Mus musculus: one gene and its partner. The protein of the gene in region 2 purifies or fractionates together with the protein of the main gene of each other region. This does not show direct contact. Links are inferred from orthologs where the notes say so. Each region holds a gene or a part of one and is shown on either strand. Other genes may lie near its edges.

Region 1 (4,153 bases), on a different chromosome or scaffold from region 2:
TCTAAGTATCAAATGTAAACTTTAATGTTTAATTTCTTACACAACAGGAACACACCAGACCAAATAGACCATTACAAAAATTTAATAGGCATTATAAATGTTATTTTACTGATGAACAGTCCATCTGGATGAATGTCTACCTCCTAGACAGTGTGAAAACAACAAATACTAGGCATAATAACTTTATTTAGTGGTAAAGAATAATGCTCATCCTACATAACTCAAAATAATCAGTACTTTTCTAAGCAGTGTGGTTACTTTTCCAGGTTCTAGAACAAAACCTGGGGAACGACTGGGCACTTTTTTCTTTGTTGTAAATGTCTAATGTTCCCCCATCTTTCACTTTTTTGACTGTAAACAAATGTGATAAGTCAGCCATTATAAATTATACAACATTTAATAAATTCAAACTCTCAGAACTGCACCAATGCTAAAAGCTCCTCAATGAAGAGAATAATAGGCTAGCCCTTTTTGTGCCTAGAGAAAGACTTTTTCAATTCAATTATAATTTGTGGATTCACACACTTATAATAGCTGGGTGAGGGACAAAAGAAAAATCTGCAAAGACCCCAATGATTCAAATTTGGGTCCAATCAGACCAGTGTTAAGACAGGGGTCAGGAATAAACTTGTGTGTAAATGAGCTTTTCCAAGCGAGAGGATATAGGGCTAGAAGACTTCTCAGGCAGGGGCCTGTGGATGATTATTTACTAACTCTGATACATACCATTCACAGTCCAATCCTTTTATTGGAATTAGGGTTTCTCAAAACGTTTTTCTAGATTTATGTTGATAAGGAAACTGAAAAGACCCAGCAGTCATTTAAAGCCCCATAGGAAAACCCCGTTTTTGAGTTTCCAGATAGATTGAATTTTAGGAAACCATTAGCGCACAGAAAAGGTAAATTTATTGACGAACAGCTCTCTTAAAACGCTTAGAGAGAATGCAAATGTACCCACGAACGGCCCAGTGGAAGCCAGTATTACAAGTACACTTTCCCGGGTTCATTCCTTCTGACTTCTAAGTGCTACAAAATGGAGCGTTCAATCTGTGTATTCCTTCAAAGTTGCCCCAGCGGTTTCTCGATTGCATGTCACATACGTTTAGTTCAGCGAGTACAGAAACTCACTTGTGGGGGAGGGAGCAAATAGTATCTAGGTCTACTGTTGTTACAAATTAAGAGTTTATTTAGCCGAGCAGCTAGATAACTTTTCCTTCCTTCTTAAGAGGCTTTTTGTAGGGAGGTTAATCGAGATTTTCGAAGCTTCAAAAACCCCGTTCTACAACAAGCCTGCCTAGGAGGGGGGGCTGGAGTGGGGGCGGCAACTCTTCTTTCCACTCAAGTTACAGCCCGAGTGGGCTAACGACATGGCAGTGTTTGGAAAACCAATTAAGTTTTGGGCAAAGTTCCTGTGCTGCTTTAGCCTAAAGCAAGTTCTTTAAAAATTAAGTAATTAAAAGCGGGGGGAGCGACACTAAAGAAATCTACCAGGACCTATCGGAATGTTAATACTTTGAAACGGTTTCACTTCTGTGCTGGATCCAGTTGGGAAAATAACCAGGCGTCGTGGATACGGATAAGCAGCCATGTTCACATCCGCAGTCAGTTAAAGAGCAATGGCGAGCTTGGAATTAGTCATTGCTTCCCAAACATTACCTTTAATCACAGTTGAGCCGGGCAGAACTCGGCCTATGAGTCAACCTGCAACGCGCTATCAAAGGCCGGCGCAGAAACCTCTGCACCGTGAGCGCAGCCGAGCTCCTGCGCAACACACAGACGTGGCTCATTTAAAAGCTTTCGGGCCGAACAGTAAATAATAGGTTACGATTTAGGAAAAGGACACGTGAGCCCACCGAGTGTGAAAGGATCCCGCCCGCGCGAGTTCCAGGGCACGGCGGAGGCGAGTGGGGGGTCGAGGGAGCTTCGCTCGGGCTGGGGAGCCCGAACCCTGCATCCGGAGAGCGCCTGGGCCGCGAGAACAGAAAAGCTTTCGGGAGAGGGAGGGGGAGGGGACCGGGAGAAGGAACCAGAAACTCAATGGACCAGTTCAACCCCCACCCCTCACCGGCACGCGAAAACAAGAGGGCAGTTAACACAGCTCCACCGGAGACTGCAGTGGCGCGGGAAGGGGAGATCGGGTACCCCCGGCTGGGGTCCCGCACAAGACGCCGGCCCCCTCCCCCTCCTCCCCTCCCCCTCGTCAGAGCGAAGGTGCGGAGCGGAGGCGCGCGCATTGTGCACCCCCCCTGCGGCCAACTCCGCGAAAACAACCCCCAGCACCGCACCCCCACGCGGCCCCGCGCCCCCGGGATACCCTTACCTGTCGCGAGTGGGACTTGGGCTCAGGCGGCTTGAAGAAGGAGTCGGGCAGCTTGCGAAGCCGCATGGGCACGGTCTGAGGCACGTTGGCCGTCTTGGGGTTCATGACGGCATTGAAGAGCGCCTCCAAGTCGGTCTCCGAGTCCCCGCGGACGTGCACGACCTGGTGGCCGGCCGGGGGTGCGGGCGGGGCCGCGGGGGTCCCGGCCGGAGACACGGACGGCGGCGCGGGGCCTTGCGGGGCCGGCTGGGGCGGCGGCTGTTGCGCGGGCTCCATGGCTGCGGCCTCGTTCGACGCTCGGGGCACTGCGCTCAGGTTCGGGGGGCTGCGACGCGCGCCCGCATCGCCCTGCACTCCTTGCCCGAGGCCGCCTCCCCTCTCCTCCCCTCCCCTCCGCGAGCTCCTTCCTTCCTCCCTTTCTTTGCCCCCGGCCGCGGCGGCGTCCCAACTGAGACAGAAACTTTGGCTCCAGACGCCCAAACTAAAAAGTTGCGAGGAGCGCCCGCCCGCGCGCCTCGCGGGCTCCGCCTCCTCGACGCTCTTCCTTCCTCTGCGCGCCCGCCCGCACCGAATCCGCGGCCCGCGGCCCCCGGGGAAACTTTCCCTGCGCGTCGCTACATTCCTGCAGACTCCCGGCCGCACGTGACCCGGGGGCGACCGCGCTGCGTGCGCACCCACCGGCCGGCCCCGAGCCGCTCGGCTGCGGGCGCAGATCCTGCCGGACCCGCGCGCAACGCCAAGGCCGCGAGGAATCGGGACAACCGGCTTGGTAGGGTGGATGCAAAGGCCACACTGTTCACCCGCACTAAGGTTAATCCGGTCCGCGTTTTAACATTGATTCCATTTACCACCAAGTTTGAAGAAGAAACAACAAAACACTTGAGGGCGGGTGCAAATGATTTCAAAGTGAAGCTTGGAAACCAGGAGTTGCACTGGGAGTACCTTACAAAAGGAAACAGTATTACTTTTTAAATTTTGTTTTAAACAGGCTTTACTCTGTAGTCAAGGATATCCTCCAACTCTTTGTGCCACAGCTTCCACAGACAGCTAGGATTCCAAGCCAGGGCCTCTGCTAGCCCGGTTTTTGTAGGTTCATAGGTTCGTCCTTTTTCTTTTCTTTTTTCTTTTTTTTCTTTTCTTTCTTCCTTCCTTCCGCTCCCCCTTTCTCCCTCTCCTTCCTTTTTCTTCCTTTTTGTGTTTCTAATTATGTACAAGTGAGCACAGGTGAAGGTCAGAGGACCATTTGTGGGATCTGTTTTCTTCTTGGTTGTGGGTCCCAGAAATCGAGCTCAGGTACCCTGAACCATCCATCTCATGTTGACTACCCTATTTTGCTGTTTTGAGTCAGGTTCCTATGTAGCTAAGGCTTTCCTCCAATTCACTACATAACTGAGGCTAGCTTAAAATTTCTGCTCCCCCTACCTCAGCCTATAAAGGGCTCAAATAACAAATGTGGGGCACCTTGCTCAGCAAACTTTTTTTTTTTTTAAGTGAAAAGTCAATTTTTTAACACCAAAACTTGACATTTCTTTGGGAACTTCAACTCAAAACATAAGTCACTGTTTAACCTCATGGAGCATTGTGGGTTTTCCTCTTGTGTTTAGTACAAGGGTAAACAATGCAGGGTAGACTAAGAAATGAACCTCAATGGAGATTACCTTAGCCCCTGATTCTCTGTGTGTCAGTCTTTTATCTATCAGGAGCCTATCTGGAATCACTCCAAAAATGATAAAAATCTGTTCGTGTTTTTTAAGTTAATTATTTTGTATTGGGTGTTTTGCCTGAGTTTATGTCTTTGCCTTGGTTCCACAGAGGTCCAAAAGATGGTATTAG
Region 2 (4,129 bases):
ATGTGGGTTGTATGTCTAAGGCCTTAACAGTCTTCAGATGAGAAATGTACTCAGAAATGAGAGTGTGTCTGGTTGGTGCAGTGCTTGTCCAGCATGTGAGAGGCTCTGAATGTAATCGTGCAAAGCAAGCACCACAGACAGACAGCAGGCCTGGTGCTTACACGTGCACTTAGTGTACGGACTTCTTTCTAGTCAGCTCTTTACAAAGGAACTTATGTTGTGTTAGGGAAATTGTATCCAGTGGAGTGGACCTGCAGCACAGGGGGGGATGCAGGTGGCTCTGTGTTAGATGACCTGAAACACAGGGAAGGAGAGGATGCAGGTGGCTCTGTGTTAGAGGACCTGAAACACAGGGAAGGAGAGGATGCAGGTGGCTCTGTGTTAGAGGACCTGAAACACAGGGAAGGAGAGGATGCAGGTGGCTCTGTGTTAGAGGACCTGAAACACAGGGAAGGAGAGGATGCAGGTGGCTCTGTGTTAGAGGACCTGAAACACAGGGAAGGAGAGGATGCAGGTGGCTCTGTGTTAGAGGACCTGAAACAGGGAAGGAGAGGATGCAGGTGGCTCTGTGTTAGAGGACCTGAAACACAGGGAAGGAGAGGATGCAGATGGCTCTGTGTTAGAGGACCTGAAACACAGGGAAGGAGAGGATGCAGATGGCATCTGTGTTAATGTTGTGCCGTTTCATAGAAGGATCTTGAGCATCCATACACTTTAGTGTCTTGGGGATGCAGTTCCTGGAATCAGTCATGAAGGACAGTGCAGGGGAGACCAAACATTGCCTTCATGGAAGTTTTAATGGTATGAGAGGCCTCACAAGGTAATGACCCAAAGAAGCTGTCGCATCTTACAATACACTGAGAATATTGGACAGAAACTAGCAGGTTGGAAAAAAGTGATTCATTTGGGCTAGGCGGTGGTGGCACACGCCTTTAATCCCAGCACTTGGGAGGCAGAGGCAGGAGGATTTCTGAGTTCGAAGCCAGCCTGGTCTACAGAGTGAGTTCCAGGACAGCCAGGGCTACACAGAGAAACGCTGTCTCAAAAAAACCAAAAAAAAAAAAAAAAAAAAAAAAAGATTCATTTGGGAAGCATAAAGAAAAGTATCTTAACAAAGTCTGTGTGGCATCCTTGATGAAATCGCTGTGTAGGAGAGAGGTAGCCTTTGTTCTGCTGCTGTAACAAAATAGCCAGGACTGAGTACTGTGTAAAGAAGGCAAGTTATGAGTTCTAGTGGCTGAAGGTCAAAGATCAGAAGGCTCTGCCTACTGTGTCTAGTGAATGCACCCAAGGTGGTTCCCTCTGTAACAGCTAGCTGTCTTGGGAGCCAGCTGGTGGCCCATGAGACCAACATCCATCCCTTCAGAGGATACACCCACATGAGTGATGGAGAGCTGCAAGGCCCTGCCAACTGCACATCACGACAGTGGGACCAAGCTAATACCACCATAAGGGATGTCAGAGGCATCCTTTCATGTGGAGATTTCACTTCTTGTTTTGGAAAACAGGGAGAGTTCTCGTACCTGTGATTTTAGTTTTTAAAGTAGATTTAATTCAAAAGTCCCAGCTTATTTTGAGAGCATAATTTCTTTCAGAGTAGAGGGCCTTCTCTTTCTTTAAACACATTGGCAGCAGGTATGGTCCAGTGTGGACCGTTGTCCCTTCCCCCTCTCACCCTGCAGGGGCATGTTATGGACCGAAGGAAGAAGGCCCTGACTGACTATAAGAAGCTTCGGGCCTTCTTCGTGGAGGAGGAGGAACACTTTCTGCAAGAGGCTGAGAAGGATGAGGGTGCTTCCGAGGATGATGAGCTGGCCGACCCGGCAGATCGCTTCCGGTCCCTGCTGCAGGCTGTGTCAGAGCTGGAGAAGAAGCACCGCAACCTGGGCCTCAGCATGCTTCTGCAGGTACCACCTGGGCAGGGGGTGAGCACCTCTTTCCACAGCACATCTCTAGTCAACTCAGCCACGGTGGAAGAGAGACTCTCCTACAGGCAAGGTTCGAGCCACAGCCCACCTTGCCCCTGTTGTGGCTCAGGTCTGAGTATCAGAGAATAAGTAGGTGGTTGGGAAAAGTAGTTGGAAGGAACTTAGAGCTGACGAAGCTAGGAGATGCCTAGGGTCTCACTGGGAGGGTTTTCCCCACCTTAGGCTCTGTGAGCAGGAGTAGCCAGGGTATCCCCCCTGTCATCCCTCATCCTCATCTCATTCCCCGAGTCTTGGACCAACACCAGAGGCAACCTGCTTGGAAGTCAGCCTGAGCTTGTAATGGGGCATCGGCTGCCACCTGTAACTGAGGTATTCCCTTCCCACATACCCATCAGCTGTTTGGGGCCTATACAACCTCAGAGACACAGGCTTTGGACCCCTCTTAGATGGGTTGTCAAGTCACCTTGGCTCTGTGTGCATTGTACGCAGGATAGCAGCACTCTGTCTTACTGTCTATACCTGTGTATCTCCCTTCATTTTCTCTTGTCTCCCTGTCTTTCCCCTTTGTCTGTTTGTCCCTTCTCTGCAGTGATGATGCTGGCCCAGCAGGCTGGCCCCCTGGAGCACGAGGCAGAAGGAACCACCTTCTACAGCTGGCCTGCAGCACCCCTACCTACATCCCTCAGGCCTCTGCCTGGCACCACCCTTCATCCTGGACAGATCCCCATCTCCATCAACACTTGACAGCCTGGGATGAAGCATCAGAGGTGCCCCGCTGGCCATGCACATAGTTCCATTGTTCAGCAGTGTTTTTCATTTTCTTTGGGGCATGAATGTGCTCGGGCTTGTACCTGTTCCAAATAGAGACCTACCAGTCCTGGGATTCCTTTCCCAGTGTGTGCCAGCCCTGCCTGGGACCACTTGGCAGCTCGGAAGCCCCTGCTTCTTGTTTTGCCATGGCTCAGCTTAGTGTGGCATTCGTTCTAGTATCCAGGAACCAAGCCTCACACCTTTCCCATTGGTGCCCGTGACAGGGTTGGCTCACTAGACATCCCTCAGCAAGGTTCTGAGGCGCACCAGTTACAGTCAGCCTGTGTGTGTTAGTGCCAGAGAATAGGGATGCAGGAGGTCCTGGGGTTTGGCTGGGACCTGAGTGTTAATGCAGTATTCCTCACCCACCAGAGGACCTCTTTCCTCACTTTGGGTCTCACTGTGCCAGGTCCTGGGAGCCGCCTTCTGCTTCGCTTCCCAGCCTCTCTTCCTCCCAGCTTGTGCCCCTTTGGGTGTCGCTGGCATCCCCAAAGTGATTTCTCCTCCTTCCCACCTCTGATGGAAGGGACCTCCTTCCCTGCAGAAGAGCAGCAGGGTGGCATCCCCAGGCCGCCGGGTGCTTCACTTCGCTGTAGTTTTGGCTTTTGCTCACCTCATATTTTCTCCAATAGGTGAATTTCACAAAACTTGTGACGTAGCGGTAGTGTGGTTGCCTGCAGCATCGTGTGTGTAGATAACTAGTCCAAGAAACAAAACCCGGCAGAGTGGACAGACACAGGTCAGGGGCCAAAGACATAGATGTATTTAGGTTTCGGGTAACAATGTTCTGTCCCCAGAAGGCCCCAGCCTTGGATGTAGTGACCGGCCTCAACTTGACTCGCAGGTGGGCTGGGTTTTCAGTGCTGAATAAAGTGGTTTGCTCCAGCCTCTCTGTTTCCATACCTCCTAGTCTTTGTCTACACAGCTGCTTCCCCCTTCCCTGACCAGGTTCCAAGGACTTTGATACCTTTGAAAGCAAGATAAGGAGACTGTCACTAAGATATTCCAGGATGGGGTGTGGGTGTGGGTGTGTGTCATCCCAAACCCAGCGTTGGCTGTGGGCATTGCATCTGGGAAGCAGGATCCATGGATGGATAGAAGGACCAAGAGGAGACATCGTGGTGAGAGGACTCTGGCTTAGCCCACCAGACAGGGTCTGCAGAGGGCTGGCCAGCTGCGCAGATGCACCCAGGGTGGAAGGTAACAGACTGGTCACATTCATACCCAGGGTGACTGGGTGCCCAGGCTGTAGCATCCTTGATCCTTGAGTCATGCAGATGGCAGGCAGCGAGAGCAGCCCTGAGTAGTGTGCTCCTCAGTGACAGAACGTGGTCTCTGTTGGGGACCAGAATGAACATTAAACTGATAGACTAGCAGGTGTGGAGAAGGTC

Evidence for each region. Proteins that work in one complex are often made in the same cells at the same time.
Region 1: the proteins of Rnf187 (region 2) and Yap1 purify together in Homo sapiens (affinity purification with western blotting; 3 studies listed by BioGRID, with this or other methods). This does not show direct contact. The link is inferred for Mus musculus from reciprocal best matches to the Homo sapiens genes RNF187 and YAP1.

What each region holds. Positions count from the first base shown.
Region 1 is NC_000075.6:8,001,795-8,005,947, forward strand, and holds the start of Yap1 (transcriptional coactivator YAP1), read right to left. Parts: upstream 2,803-4,153; 5' UTR 2,597-2,802; coding exon 2,321-2,596; intron 1-2,320. UniProt on the Homo sapiens protein: Transcriptional regulator with dual roles as a coactivator and corepressor. Critical downstream regulatory target in the Hippo signaling pathway, crucial for organ size control and tumor suppression by restricting proliferation and promoting apoptosis.
Region 2 is NC_000077.6:58,931,785-58,935,913, reverse strand, and holds the end of Rnf187 (E3 ubiquitin-protein ligase RNF187), read left to right. Parts: intron 1-1,682; coding exon 1,683-1,907; intron 1,908-2,517; coding exon 2,518-2,520; 3' UTR 2,521-3,626; downstream 3,627-4,129.